2 linked regions of the Lepisosteus oculatus genome follow. The protein of the gene in region 2 purifies or fractionates together with the protein of the main gene of each other region. This does not show direct contact. Links are inferred from orthologs where the notes say so. Each region holds a gene or a part of one and is shown on either strand. Other genes may lie near its edges.

Region 1 (7,777 bases), on a different chromosome or scaffold from region 2:
CTCCTTTAAAATGTGAATACATATAGTTTTTTTAGGTAAATAATTGTTCAAGCAAGCATTATTGTGCCCCCCCAGTAAAAAGTAAAACATACAAAAAAAAGTAGAGATATTCTCCATTTATCTTATTTCATATTCATTCAATATTGTCAAAGCGGACTATGACCTGTCATTAGCATTTCCCCATGTACTGGTTGCCATAGACACATTTCATCCTATATTTCAGCGGCTGTCACATGTTATTATAGTAAAAAGGGATTCTAAGATGAACAAAGACTGTCTACTGCCTCTTCTCTGGAGATTTAACCCTTTAATCATGACACTAGCCATATACCATTTACCACAATTGACCCTTTTGCTAATTAATGACAGATTTATACTGAGACTAAATATTCTTGATTTCAACTCATGCATATTTATTTCCGAACATGCCAATTAAGGGATAGAATTTCCTTTATATAGAATTTATATATGCAATTTCCAGTATAATGAAAAGCTTGAGAACAATACATTGCAGATGTCTACACACTGATATATATTGTACAAAACATACTGTACATCAAGAACATTTAAGATTTTTACCCAGATACAATCTCCCACAAATTCCAGAAACTGTCAGCAATCAATCCAGAATAAAGAAGATACTGAGTTATATAGCAAATGAAAAATATCAATTCAATATTCTTATAAAATAACAACATATATCAAAAACACATTGTTTTGGAGGATATCACTGCAGAAAGATGTATTAAAATGTATTAAAAATAAAGACCATTTATTTCATTAATATTCTCTCAAATAAGGTGTCTTTGATGGCACGAATCAATCTAAAATCATTCAAATTTGAAATACAGAGGAAACATGATTCTTAAATTTAAACGTGCTGGCTATTTCAGGGAAAAATGTAAAATCCAAAAAACTAAGCATTAACTTGGCTGAATAATTATGTTGTAGAGGAAAAAAAACTGCTGTAAAATGGGAAGATTAAACACTAAACTTGGTGAACAATGCTGAAGACAGATATTTGTGGAAGAAACTAGATGTCCATCCCTATGGACAGTAAATGAGAACTTTTTGAAGGACCTAAAAGACACTCTGGGACAATGAAAGAAGCAGTAATTTAGGAGTCTGTATCCTTCTATGTTCACTGCGCAAGGTTTTCTCTTAAGTGTTTCTTTAGATGATCTAGCAGAGACTTAGCAGGGTGCACTTTGTGCTGTTAATTTTGTATGAAAACAGAAATGCATAAGAAATCCTAGAGGATGAGGTGAAAGAGGTCATTGGGCCCATGTTGAACATCATGTGATGTCTCAAATAGAATAGATATCTTAAAATAGAACAGATGTCTAAAATAGAATCAATAGTGTATTCGAGAGGGCTAAACTACAAATTTCCACAGCTATTCCATTCACTGTTCATGAGAAGAAGAGTTCTGAAAAGCTTCCAAAATTCACAAAATCCAACATGGCAGCCAACATAACCACATTTCCCCAATATCACTCCCTTCACACAGCTATAGCCCCACTAAGGTTAGAAAAGTTCTTTTGATGTGGAAAGTGATTAGTCCACATCACCCTTCATTTGTTGAAAATGCATAGAAATACCACAATTGAATGAGCTCATGTTTATTGAGAAACCCACCAAAGTTCAATTGGTCTAATGCTTATAGAGGAGTTGCATTTGAAGGTGAAGGTGTATCATGAGACAATAATGTTAAACTTTATTTTACATAAATGCTTTACAGAATGACAAAAACAATACACAAGATAAAACACAATTACGATTTACAGAGGAGACTTTGGATGGTGGTTCTAAGTATAGTAGGATACTTACTTATATATATATACTATAGTAGTATATAGGATGGAACCTCTTAAGTAAAGGCTCTTCTAAAGAAGAGGGTTTTGAGTCTGGATTTGAAGGAGTTTAGAGAAGGTGACTCTCTGATATCCTTGGAGAGAGTTTTCCAGAGCTTGGGGGCATAACAGGAGAAGGCCCTGTCACCCATAGAATGTAGACAGACTTGGGGAACAGATAGGAAAAAAGAATTAAAAGAGCGAAGGTTGCAAGGTGGGGAGTAGGGCGATAATAGTTCAGACAGGTACTGAGGTGCCAAGCCATGCAGAGCCTTATAGGTGAGCATGAGGATTTTAAAGTCCACACAGAATTTGACAGGAAGCCAGTGCAAAGACTGGCTTTCAGGCATAGCACTGATCTGTTGCATGCAAACATCCCCTAACAGTAGTTCATTGCAGTGCTTCACCACATTTGTGAAGATTGATGGAAATAACTGCAATGATGTTGGTAATGTTTAAAACGTCAGAGACATTTACAATTTTGCCTATTCTACTGTTGGTGGAAGAAACAAAAACAGGCTTCTAGTCATTCCAGCTTGGAAACTAAGATACACCTGGTTTCAAGTGGATGTGAAATGTAGACATACTATATACAGTAGGAATATAATGTCGTTAGTGTTGGATGAAAATGGAAATTGTTCAGGTGGTTCATTCAAGGCTGCAAATCTTAAAAACTATCAACAGTTAACCCAAGGGGTTACATCCAGCTCAGCAATAAATCAGGACAGAAGATGTATATTTAAAGAATGAAAAAGAAAGCACCATTTTTACACTGATGTGGCCTGTCTTCACATCTCAGTCAAGATGTTGAAGCCAATTCCATGGACCCTTCAAAACATGTTTCAAACTTCGATAAGATTCTGTGATCCAGCTGGTTTTACTATAGGAACCAAACTAGTAGAAATGGTCAAATTGACAGCGTCTTTTCAAAGTAATTAACTACATGAATCTGAAAGATAAGGTTTAAGTTAATAAAATATACAGACAAACACATTCATACAACCCAATAGAAGCAAACTGTACAGATGTTTATTTACCTTCCTCATCTCAATGTTTTGTTTTTAAACGTTAAGTGCAAGATAAGCAACAAAATACACTACAGTGCGATAACTTTCTTTGCGAGTCACATTTATATTACTTACATCAGTCTTTGTTACAAGCAACTGGTAAAAGTCTTTGTTAGGTGCAGGACCCTGGCCGCTCGTTTCAAACACGGTTTCTCCCAGCAATGACGCCATGTTTAGACGCTTTGTCGTTACCACGGCAACGAAAGGGACAACGGACCACTCTTTTTAGAATTCTAAAATAAAAAACAAATAAAATAAAAAATAAACATTTGTTGGATTTTTATAGAAAAGGCATGCATTTACGGGGTATCTAATTAAACGTAAATGATCTCACTGACAAGGTGTAAAAAAACCGCAGAAAGCAAATAAACAGTTTGTTAATATTACAGGGTCATGACCCTGCGGAGGGATATTTCTCAGACACTTTAAGCGCAGATTAAAAGGAATAATAGATCTGTTATCTTTAATTAAAGAGGCCAAAGATGGACTCTCATACTTACATTTTTAATGTTAAACGCCCTTAAACGTTGAATAAAAGTTGCCTTTCTCCTTGTTAAGTTAAAGTAGTTCCTGGCGGAAGAAGGGGGGCCGCTTCAGCGGAGGTATACTGCAGTTGCAGGTCCCTCAGCTGATGTGAAGGTAAGAGCTGAGAGAGTGGAGCTGCTGCACTGTCTGTAACAACAACTACAACACTGGAACAAATAGGTAATACCAATCGTCTATCAAGCCTTCACTAACGTTGGTGTAGTGTATTTACGGGATCGTTTGAAGGCGAGGACCTTGAAATATAAAGGTGGGGAGGTGATACAGTTTCGCGAAAAATATGGATTCCAATTGTCATCTCGAATCCTGTTCCTGCTTTCCTGTTTTTTTCTTCTTGTGATGCAAGCAGTGAAAACGGGGTTCAGAGGCCATTTCGTTTTGTAATTGTACAAATTGCCATTTTTTGTTTAAAAAAGCCAGCCATGCCCTTTCCTCTTTGTGCGAGAGAAGCGCAAAATGAATGTTTGAGATCTAGTGAGTGAATACAACGCATACTACGATGTGTTAATTATAAATATTTACGTGTCACTTTTTTTACAATTAAAAATTCGTGTGGTCTATTCAGCCGACTTCTCCGTCATAGCGATCGCGAGAAAAAAATGAAACTTTGCATTGCAACACAATGTCACCTCACTGGGTGTAAAACATTTGTTTACGTAGCTTCTTCTCTCTGAAAATACGTCTGTTCAAGCAAACTGTCCTGACAAGAAAGCTTTATAGAGGTGCAGACATGATCAAGATATATGATACGAGACGCGTTCTTAGTAAAGCTGAGGACGTTGTAGATCTAGTTAAACTGGACCGACAGAATTCCTTCTTAAACGACCCAGATTTAATTAATTCCTTGCGTATGGAAGATCACTCAACAGCTTTTTAAACCTACGTATACAGATAAAGGCCATTACGCTTTAGGTGGCTGCTCACCTTTTATTAATCTCATTTGTTGTTTTACAACCATGATTTGTATTTTAAATTGTATGATTTAAATCTATGCATCACTTTATCTAGGGCTCACTCGGGCTGTGTAAACGTCAGTGAAAGCGTTGCACAACATACAAAGATGCCGTGCTCAGTCTAGATCCTGAATCTGGATTAAGAGCCCTTTCCTGGCCATATCTGTTCAATCGAGACCGAGGCTGTTCGTAAGCGGCAAGGCCTCGGCCAGGAAAAGAAAGAAATTAAAAACTCTTGTGTAGGTTGTCTGGACAAGTAACATTTACGTGGGTGCGAATGGGTTTGAATGAACAAAAACCAGAGTTATAAAGAAATATACTTAACTCCGAGATCGTCTGGACATATTACTAACATAAACAAAAGACGAGGAACGATCTGGCGGCCTACGTAGGGCCTTAATAATTGTCGTATTTTCAGAGTATTTTTTTCTTTGAGACCACTGGTTATTACAGTGTAAATTTATAGTTCTGTACATTAGTAAAACGTTTTTAATGAATTATAGCCTGGAGTCGAACAATGTTTTTTCTTTACGTGTGGTTGAATCTCGCGTAATCATCTTTCTGGGTTTTAATGTAAGCATTTCGTAATGCTGACCTGCCTCGGATATCATGGATTAAAACAGTATTTTTACTCATGACACATGTTCTTTTTCCAGAGCTTTTATCCCCCCCCTCCCCACAAAGACGCCTCTGACCCACACATTGTATTTACAGTTTGATCTACTGTTATTGCACTGTAAATCAGTTTCTCTTACATGTGCTTTTAAGGAACACTGGTAATACTGGGATATTTCTGAAGTTGTCAGACTAGTTCCATGTACTGGTTTAACTGTCCGAGTGGTCTCATCAGTTTAGAATTTGCATGTATACTTCTTAAGGGGTTGGGTACTGTATATACTGTTTAGTTTCTATCTTGAAAATTATGAAATCAATTATAACATTCAAAAGAATGATAATCAAAAACACTGAGTGGCTGAACAAAACCACATCTGCAAGATCAAAATATTCCCCGTTAGAGTGTTAAACAGCTACTTCATAGCTCTGCAGAACAATCCAGTTTAGCTAAACTTAGACTTATTATAAGTTAATCTTCTAAACAAGGAAGCTTATTATTGCTTGTGAGATCTTCCTTTATTATTCTCATAGGGCAGTTGAGGAAGTTCTTCTGGAGGTGTTGGTGGGCCTCCACTCATAGAGCAAACTTAGCTCTCTCTAACTCAGTTGACTATAGGCGGCATCACAGACTGTCCACCCTGACTATTTCTGATAGGAACTTATGAGTCATGGTGAGAATGGGCTTCATTGCTATGCAATTTGCACCAGAAGCCCCAACGAAAAGTACATTAATCATTAGAAGGATACCATATTGGTTCCTCGGAACAATAGTGCTGCTTCATGAACAGTATGAGTAGATCAGTGTGTTAATTGAGATAATTTTATGAAGCCCTCTGTGAAAATTTTACCCTGCCATGTCATCACCAAATGTTTCTGAGACCAAAGATTGAAAGTAGTGTTCATGGGGGTCAGCATACACATCCATCCAGCCATTTTTAACCTCTTTATTCAATACAGAGTCATATGGCAGCCGGAGCCTATGTTGGCAAGCAAACGGTGGAAGGCAGGATATACCCTGGATGGGACGCCAGTCCATCACAAGACACACACACAGACACAAACACTCACTCACACCAGGGCCAGCTTTTATCCCCAGGATCTCGTTAACCTACATTGTCTTTGGTCTGTGGGAGGAAACTTATGGGAACATTGGGGAACACATACAAACTCCACGCAGCTACCATCCCAGAAATTGAAGCCAGGGGCCCTAGTGCTATGAGGTAGCAATGTTAACCACTGCGCTACAGTGCCTTCCTAGTGTACGTGTGTTTTGCAACTTATATTTGGACTCAAAATCCCTTAGCATCTTACTTCCATGTTGCATGGAGGACACACAGGTCTATCCTTTTAATGCTCTGTTCTCAAAGTGACACAGCTAATCAGTTGTCTGGCTTTGTTGCAAAGTAACATATAGTTGCAATTTTATTTTGGCTACTTTTTATTGGGTCACATACAGGGTATCTTGATGTAGTCAACAGTTAACGATGCTCATTGATGTCTGTGATGATTTCTGATCTCTTTGAAATACTGCAGTTTGTAGCTTGCACTTTTGCAGACAGACAATTTCATAAGTTACAGACCCTTCACAGTTAATAGAAAAACATTATTTATGTCATCCCAAATGATTGTTTTATGGCAAAGGGAATTTATGACATTTTAGGTACAGAACATCTTTAAACTTCATTATGTCGTACACCTGGTTATGTTGTGAGCTTAAATCACAAAGTGACTTCTGTACCCCGGTAATCCTCAAGTTAGGTTTGTCTTTGTTGAGTGTTTTGAATTTCTTCAAACAAAACTGTTTTTTATTAAAAATTAAAAATGAAACAATATGGAAAACTAAATTTGTAAGGCCGTTAACATACAAAGACCTTGTAGAATTAATCTATTTTTAATGGAAAGGGTTGTACTGTTTGAAAAGGTTTAGCATTTCTGAGTTAACAGGAATTTTATTCTGATGTCGTATGGGGGAAAGGGATGATTGTGCTTTTGTGTGTTAGCTGTGGTTACCAGCTAGCCACCAGTGGCTTGTTTTTTAGGAGTATTGAGAAGTGGCTGTTTTGTAAAATGAAAAACATTGAGAGCAGCGAAAGTTAATAGTAAAACGTAGCAACATATCAGTGAATTTCAAACTGGAGTTATAATGTAATAACAAGTGCATTCAAATCCCCATGTCAACTGAATGATGTATGGCTGAAGTTGCATATTGCTGTTTTGAGAGATGATTCTTAAAGTTCAGCTATTAAACTTAATGTAATGAAATCAGAGACTATATGTCTTGGTTCCTGTAAAGTGCATAGTAGATTGTTTTTTGTTTACTTGGATTTTGTACATATTGAACTTCATCAGTCATCATGATCAGCATTTAAAGTACAAAAAGCATTAACTTTGCCCTGTGTAAGTACTACTAAATATTCATCCAGATTTAGGTAAAACAATTAGCTTGTCAAGCAGGAAAATTACATTTCAGTGATTGTCTACTAGCTGTGAGTTAAAAGGTAAGTTGCTTCTTGTACTTGATTTATTTATAGCCTGTCTTCCACACTTGGGGCAGGAATGTGAACAAAAATATGCTAATGCAACAAATTATATATTTGTGAGTCACCACAGCGTCTCTGTCTGTGTTTTTAGCAGATTGACAAAAACATAATTCATAACGGTTTCAACAATTCTTTAATTTATCTAGGTATATTAAAAAGGTATCAATAGCTTATCCATTATCTGCCTGAAGCTTTGGAAATATCAG
Region 2 (7,657 bases):
ACATCAAAATTGTAACTTATTTCAAACTACTGTCATACCAAGTTAAAATGATTAAGTATTGGAAAAGCATCATTAAACAAGGTTTTGCTTCTGTTTCGGGATCTTATTTGAGTTATGAGAGAAGGTTGTGAGGAATTTGTTGATGCTTTAAAATAGAAACTGCAACTCCTGATTGTGTATAAGATGACACTGACTTCTGTAAAGCAACGTACTGGAAAAAGATGCAAAGCATTTAAAGCTAGTTCACAAAGGTCAAATGTGCTCAGATTACAAATTAAGTATGTATTACATAACAAAACAGGAGTGGGACAGCTATACTGATTGCAAAACAGCCACATCAGAGCCAAGAATTTCACAACAGCCTTACAAGTAAAACTACTTTTACAGAACACAAGTCACTCATACAAACAAGCAGAAGAAACCAATTTGTGCTTTACAGTTGAATCACTAAGTTGGATTATATTTTCAGTGGACAACTATTTGCACTGCTGTTATAAATTACAACAAAAGCAAGGAGCCTAGTGATCTAATTTTATTGAGTTTCTAACTAATTATTACCAACTCTTAAGCACACACTTAGACAATTAAGTACCTGAAATAACCTACAAAGACATTAATGTTCACACTTTTCAAACCCAATGAAGAATTAATAATACACACCAGGATAAGCTCAAAAAGTGTTCCCTGGTCAACTTTCAGGAACTCCTGATCCCACACAGGGATATCATCTGTTCTCTTCTCTTTGTTTTCATCATCTTCAGGAGGAGGGGGGTCATCTTTGTGATGAGTGCACCACTGAATCACCTAAACAATTAAAAGGAGAAAAACAAGTTTTCAGGAATCGGAAAGGAATTTTCAGATAAATTCATATATATTATTAATTTCAATTGTAATTATCTGAAGGGAGCATGGATACATTTCATACAGTACATACCAGAACATAGCAAAGAAACAGAATTCCCTGGAACTACGGGCTAATCTAACATCCAGCCGAAATGTTATAGCTACACTCACTACTTCATTATGAGAAACTATCCCGTGGAAAGACATGGGTGGTGCGGTGGCTCTGTGGTTAAGGATCTGTGTCTGTGGCTGGAAGGTTGCCGGTTTGTATCCTGTGGCCGGCAGAGGAATCCTACTCTGTTGGGCCCCTGAGCAAGGCCCTTAACCCCAACTGCTCCAGGGGCGCCGTATAAATGGCTGACCCTGCGCTCTGACCCCCAAACATTTTTCCCTGTCTCTATGTCTCATGGAGAGCAAGCTGGGGTATACGAAAAGACAAATTCCTAATGCAAGAAATTGTATATAAGACCATTTTATTAGCCATATGTACAGACATACTGTATTTAAAATTAGAAAATAAAAAACGTTACCTTTTTCAGAATAGCTGCATTAACATTGGGAAGTGGAACAGGATCATCATCACCTTCATCGTCCATGCCTAAGTCTGTGCCAAAATTAGCGAACACAGTATATCAATGTCAGAAAATGAGATCTACCTTCCAGCAGGTTTTCTAAAATTCTGAGGACCCATAAATGATCCAAAGGTCTGTTTACACAACCAGACTAGGCAACCATTGCAATTATTCATTTCACAGTTCCCCTTCTGGGGAAAAAAGGTAAAACAAACTTCTGTCCTTGAAGAAATAAACCTGTTAACTTCCAAGCTTTTCTTTTATGCAATCCTCTACATAATCCACTAAAAATAAACTTGTTTCTAGCTGTACACTACAATTCTCAACAGTAAAAAATCTTATTTCTTTTGCAGATTATAAAAAGTGAACAGAGCATATTACAACTAGGACACTCTCCTTAAAAATATAGCTTATATGTATCCTCTCAGACCCTTATCTAAAAAACTTTAAACTAAGGCCCATTATGCTTCCCCAAAATTCAGTTATTCAAAATAACTATAACAAAATAATGTAAAATTCTTGATAACTGACAACAGTCCCTTGTTTTCTACAGCAACATGCTATGTTTGAGAGGAAAAAAAAATATTTCCTTAACAGTAACAAATTCAGTACTACAAAGTACTGCTTTGAGAAGTTCTTTCCTCTCACAAATCTCCTTTGGTTTTGTAAATTCATGTTTTAACAGTTTAAACAATGAAAACGTCATACACAGGAGTTTATGTGAACTTCTTACCTTCTAACATAGTCTTAATGGTTACAGACTGCTTCGCAATTTCAACATCAACTTCAAATATCTCTCCATCAGAACTCTGCAGTTTAATAGTAGGCATCTGAAAAGTAAATATGGTGGAGATTTTGTGACATCTAGCTAAAACTAAATGTTGTATTTAGCCCCAAGCACCTCAATACTGGACAGAAACGGCTTATGTTTTAAGTAAACAGAACATATTTAGTAATCGAGACGTTTGAGTACTACCATTATTTCAGTATTAAGTTATTTGTCAACGGATTTGAATGTGTACGTAAAAAAAAATCATTCTTGTCATAATGATGATGCATGATTTTCAGCGTAATGAAGCCACAAAACAGACTAAGCGGACACGATATTACTGAGCTCACGAATATACAGAAGAGACCAATTTGAAGGTCTTTTAAATATGCCTTTACAGGTTTCACTATACAAATAATGTAAAGACTACCCTTTGCTCTTTGTACAACCAATTTAGCTTTCTACCTTAGCATTTTGAAGAATGCCATTAATATCGTTACCACCACTTATACCCAAGGTTTCGCTAATTTAGAAACACACCACTATGGCTAAAAATCCATAATAGAACTTTTTATATAACATATCTGAATTTAAAAAGCCAATTATTTAAACGTCAACACGGAACGTTTCTCGATAAAGAAAGCGCCTCACGAGAAAGGCCTCTCTTAGCAACAGTAATTCATTACAGTAAGCAGTTGTTGTTTTAAGCCAGACAGATAAATTGAGAGGTTGCTTAAAATAAAAAAAAACAACAAAACACGTATAGTATACATATCAATTCAGCTACTGACTTACGGTGAATATGGTATTATTTCACAAAAACAAGACGACACGATAGCAAGGCCCAAATACAGCAACTACTACTATAATCCGTTGCTTTTGTATGCGAAAGACGACGAAGTTAGCTGTCTTCTGATATTGCCGGTTTAATTTATGTCACGGCGGTCTATGTTTTTTTTAATTTGATTGACGTTGCATTAGTTTTAAACATTACCAGTTTGACTATTTATAAAATAATATTACTTCTTTACTTTTAGATTTTCTGATTTAAAATATCTTCTTATTTATGGTTCAGGCAATCACCCAGACTGCAATCAGCGTTATTCTAGAATATGCAGTAAATGGAGGAGTGATGTGTCTTTTCAAAACGAAACCTCTTGGTCTTGCGTTTTCTGATCCTTTCAATTTTGAGTTTGTAAAATATCGGCTGTATTGTTAAATAATCCGATCATTCTTGCCACTTGTCGAAAAAAAATACTGCTATAAATATATTACTGTTTGAGTTGAGTCACTTTTTAACCTGAGTCCTTTGATTTATTCCATCAAACATTGTATTATTTGGGATTGATTCATATAGATAAATAATTATCTACCCCGTAAATCACTGATGAGAGCTAAAAAATAAATTATATTGTTACTGATAACTAGATTTGGATACATTATAATAATGTTATGTGTATAATGATGTAATAACTAATTTGATGTTATAGGTTGCCTCTGATTTTTTTCATATCTAGGAAATTTGTGTTGATTAGGTTCACCTGTAGCTCTTCCTGCCACTTGCCTTATCACTACAGAGTGAAATTAATTTGACATTTCTAATTTTATTATTCTGTTGTGTGTATGGGGATTAAAAGTGAACAATAACAATGCCCCATTATTGTTGAAGAATGTCATACCAGTACCAGTGCACGTTCAGATTACTTTTATTTCCAAAAAAGAGACAATTCCGGTTTAAGCCAAGATGTTTATTTTGTATTTGGGTGACACAGTGGTGCAGTGGTTAGCATTGCTGCCTTGCTGCTCTTAGGCCCTGAGCCCAGACCACTGAGCCCAGACCAGGGATGCTATCTGCGTGGGGTTTGCATGGGTTTTCTCCAGGTGCTCCAAAACCAGTCCAAAAACACACTGGTAAGTTAATTGGTTTTTTGGAAAACATGCCCTGATGTGAATGTGAGTGTGTGTATGTGTCTGTCTGCCTGCCTGCGAGGGTCTGGCATCCTGTCCAGAGTGTACCCTTGTTGCTTGCGGGTATAGGCTCTGGCTCTTCCACAACCCTGAATTAGAAGAAGCAGTTAGAAAATGGATGGATTTATTTTTTAACTATCTTAACTAGATAATTATGTTTGCTGGTGTGGCCAATCCTGGTGCAGGACTGTTGGTGAGTCTTCAGGATTTTATTCCATCTCTGATCTTATCCTAAATCAGCTCATTATTGACTTAATAGGACCACATCAACAATATTCCAGCTCTTCAGGTGCTGCTATTTCCAAGACACATAGTTAACCACTAGACACACCTGCCCTACTAGAGATATATTGCTTGTCCCTGTGATAAAGAATTATGTGGTCACTTATCTCAATCATTTCAGTAAGAGTGCTCTTTTATAATCTCAGTGAATTTCTTTGAATGATCTGTAAGACAAAATAAGAATTTTGTACCCAATTTGACAATCAAAAATTAGAAAACGATTCAACGATACTTTCACCAATATCCCCTCTAGAATAAATATATTTCTTTAAATATTTTGTATTTTCAGAAGTGCTAATGAATTGACGATGTAAGCCATCAGCCAAAATTCCTAACAGCAAAATGAATAATGCTTTTCAGCATCTAAACAGTCAATGTGGTAGTGAATACATTAACATGGTGGTAAAATGTCTAAGTCTAAATAAGAAAATCAAGTTTCTACTATTTAATGTGATATGGACATAAAAACACTTCTTTCACACTCTATTCATGTTTATAATCTTTATAATCTTTGGGGTTAATCTTTAAATGAATCATAATTAAGTGTGAATCCACATTTCTAGTAATAATTGCGTAATTCAACTTTTAAGACACTTGGAACATGAGACAGATGTAGGCCGGTTGGCCACCAGATGGCAGGAGTAATCTTCAAAATGTGTAAGGATCACACCACCATATTTTTATTCCACATATATTATCCTTTTAGATTTCTAAACCCCAAGTAGAATTATTAAAGGAAAACATAGATTTGAAATCCTTAAGTGAAACAGCAAGAAATCCCAAAGTGAAACAGCAAACAATTACCTACAGAAAGAATACAGAATATCGACAAGTTTGTGAATCTTGAACACTTTTAGACACACACCAGATCAATGATTACAGATCAGGTACTCATGACAAGTGTTCAGTCTTAAACGTGACAGTGTAAAAAAAACATTGCGAGTTATCGGGTATGACTCCATTGCACATTAATGCAAACATGGCTTGCAGTGTTGACTTATACAGCAGATATTCTCTCGCTCTTCCTGTGCAAACTCAGCAAGTAGCGGAGGGCTGTCTCCTGTCAATGACATTGTTTTTCCCCACAGATGTCAAAAGATGCTCAGAACAGGAGAAAAAAGATGACAATGGCAAGATCTCACCTGTTCGTTAAGGGGTACCATAGGAATTTGAGCGATGTGCTGTCATTCTGTGAAAAAAGCCAACAATTCAAGACCGTCCTGTAGCAGCGAATAACAGAAGTGCAAGTGATCACATTACTCCTATCCTGGAGTCCTTGCACTGGTTTCCAGTCAGGTTTAGTGTCAACTTCAAAATTCTCATGCTCACCTGTAAGGCTCTCCATGGCTTAGCATCTCAGTACCTGTCTGAGCTACCATCGTCCTACCCCCACCTTGCAACCTCCACTCTTCTAATTCTGGTCTCCTATCTGTCCCCCAAGCCCATATACACACTATGAGTGAAAGGGCCTTCTCCTGTTGTTCCCCAAAATTTTGGAACTCTATCCCTTAGGATATCAGAGTCACCTTCCCTAAAATCTTTCAGATCTACACTCAAAACCTTTCTCTTACTTAACTGGTTCTGTTATATACCCCTCTGCATATACCGTATTCAGTACTCCCATCTACCGTCTCCTCATTGTGTATTTAATCTTCCCGTTGTTCTGTAAAGCGCCTTGAGAACCACCTTTAAAGGCGTTACATAACATAATGTTTTTTATTATTATTGCAACGGAAAGAATTGATCAAAGTAGCTCTGAGAAGTAAGGTGTCCCTTAGTCTGCACCAGAGGTGTCCTTGTGTTGAAAGAGGTTCCTACTCTAGTCCTCAAATATTCACCACCCCACTGGTTGGCTTGAAAAACTCAACAATAAACATAGCACTCACCCCGACATTTCCACACACCCACTACCACCAGGTCTGTGAAGAGCAAAATGGCTCCACTAGTCTCTTCAGCACCACCAAAGTTGTGCTCTGGATCAGAGGATGGCGATTTCACCTCTTGGCTGTCAACATTACCCCACGAAGTATGCAGATCATGCAAATGCAGTCGATGGGCTGCAGTCATTGCACTGATGCACTGGTTCCTCGAGCCATTTCTCATGCTGTAGCCACTATAGTCTGAAAACCCTGCAGATGGATCATATGGAATTGACTTTCCTGGGTTGGTGTGGCGTGGCTTTGACTCCCAGAACATGAACTGTCTGTCAGTTTCTTGGTTTATCAAGTGAGTGAATAAGGAACAGCACACATAAAGGGTGAATGCCCAAACTGGGGTGATGACCACACCTGACAGCCTTCCTCTCCTAATTAAACAAATTCACTTTTTTTAATTTCTCAAATGTCACATATACTTTGAAGTCTCTACAAATTGATTTACGTGTGACCAGTAAAATGTGATAGGGTGTAATACTCTGTGGAGAGATGTAGCTATTCTTGCACTATACAAGTGTGAGTTTACCATGAATTAACCATAATCACCACCACCAATGATTTAAATAACTGCTTATCCATATCAGGATGGTGGAGCAGAGCCTTTACTGGGAAGCATTGGGTACAAGGCAGGATACACCAGTCAAGTGTAGTGCACACACAGACACAGACCCTCTCACACCAGGGCCAGTTTTACAGGAGACTTAACCTACTAGCACGTCTTTGGACTGTGGGAGGAAAGCAATGTGAATACAAGGAGAACATGCAAACCCCACACAGACAGCACCCCAGGAATTGAATGCAGGGCCCCATAGCTCCCCATGAGAGACAAAAGCTATCCTAGAAGCTGCATCTGCATTCATCTGGTGAAAATGTGAGCTAATAACTGAGGTCTGGCTCACAAACAAAAAATCCAAATAATTGAGTCTAGGTTCTGATTATTTTATGTAACCAGAGTAAAATGTCAGTCTTTTATCTCGTCAGAACTATTATTAATTTGATAAACAATTTCAACTTCTGTTAATAATCTATACAGAAGGAAATTGAACAGATTTGTTCAAAATGGAAAAGGAATCACAAAGGTAGTCACACATGGAAACAGTTCTTCTAATTGCTGCCTTTCTTCAAGAACTGCTTACATTATTTGGACGTGAGCCATTCCAGTTTTTCTCAGCGTTTGATATTTAAATAATTGAAGCCAGATTGCATCCAAAGAGAAGGGATGTTATAAAACAGCTTGATTCAACCCCAGTTTTAAAAAGACAAACAGCCATTAAAACTCGACAAAGAAC

Evidence for each region.
Region 1: the proteins of skp1 (region 2) and fbxo36a purify together in Homo sapiens (affinity purification with mass spectrometry; 3 studies listed by BioGRID and IntAct, with this or other methods). This does not show direct contact. The link is inferred for Lepisosteus oculatus from reciprocal best matches to the Homo sapiens genes SKP1 and FBXO36.

The regions. Positions count from the first base shown.
Region 1 is NC_090708.1:16,106,145-16,113,921, forward strand, and holds the start of fbxo36a (F-box only protein 36), read right to left. Parts: upstream 3,128-7,777; 5' UTR 3,092-3,127; coding exon 2,996-3,091; intron 1-2,995. UniProt on the Homo sapiens protein: Substrate-recognition component of the SCF (SKP1-CUL1-F-box protein)-type E3 ubiquitin ligase complex.
Region 2 is NC_090706.1:23,941,224-23,948,880, reverse strand, and holds the start of skp1 (S-phase kinase-associated protein 1), read right to left. Parts: upstream 3,091-7,657; 5' UTR 2,980-3,090; intron 2,246-2,979; coding exon 2,149-2,245; intron 1,448-2,148; coding exon 1,374-1,447; intron 805-1,373; coding exon 661-804; intron 1-660. UniProt on the Homo sapiens protein: Essential component of the SCF (SKP1-CUL1-F-box protein) ubiquitin ligase complex, which mediates the ubiquitination of proteins involved in cell cycle progression, signal transduction and transcription.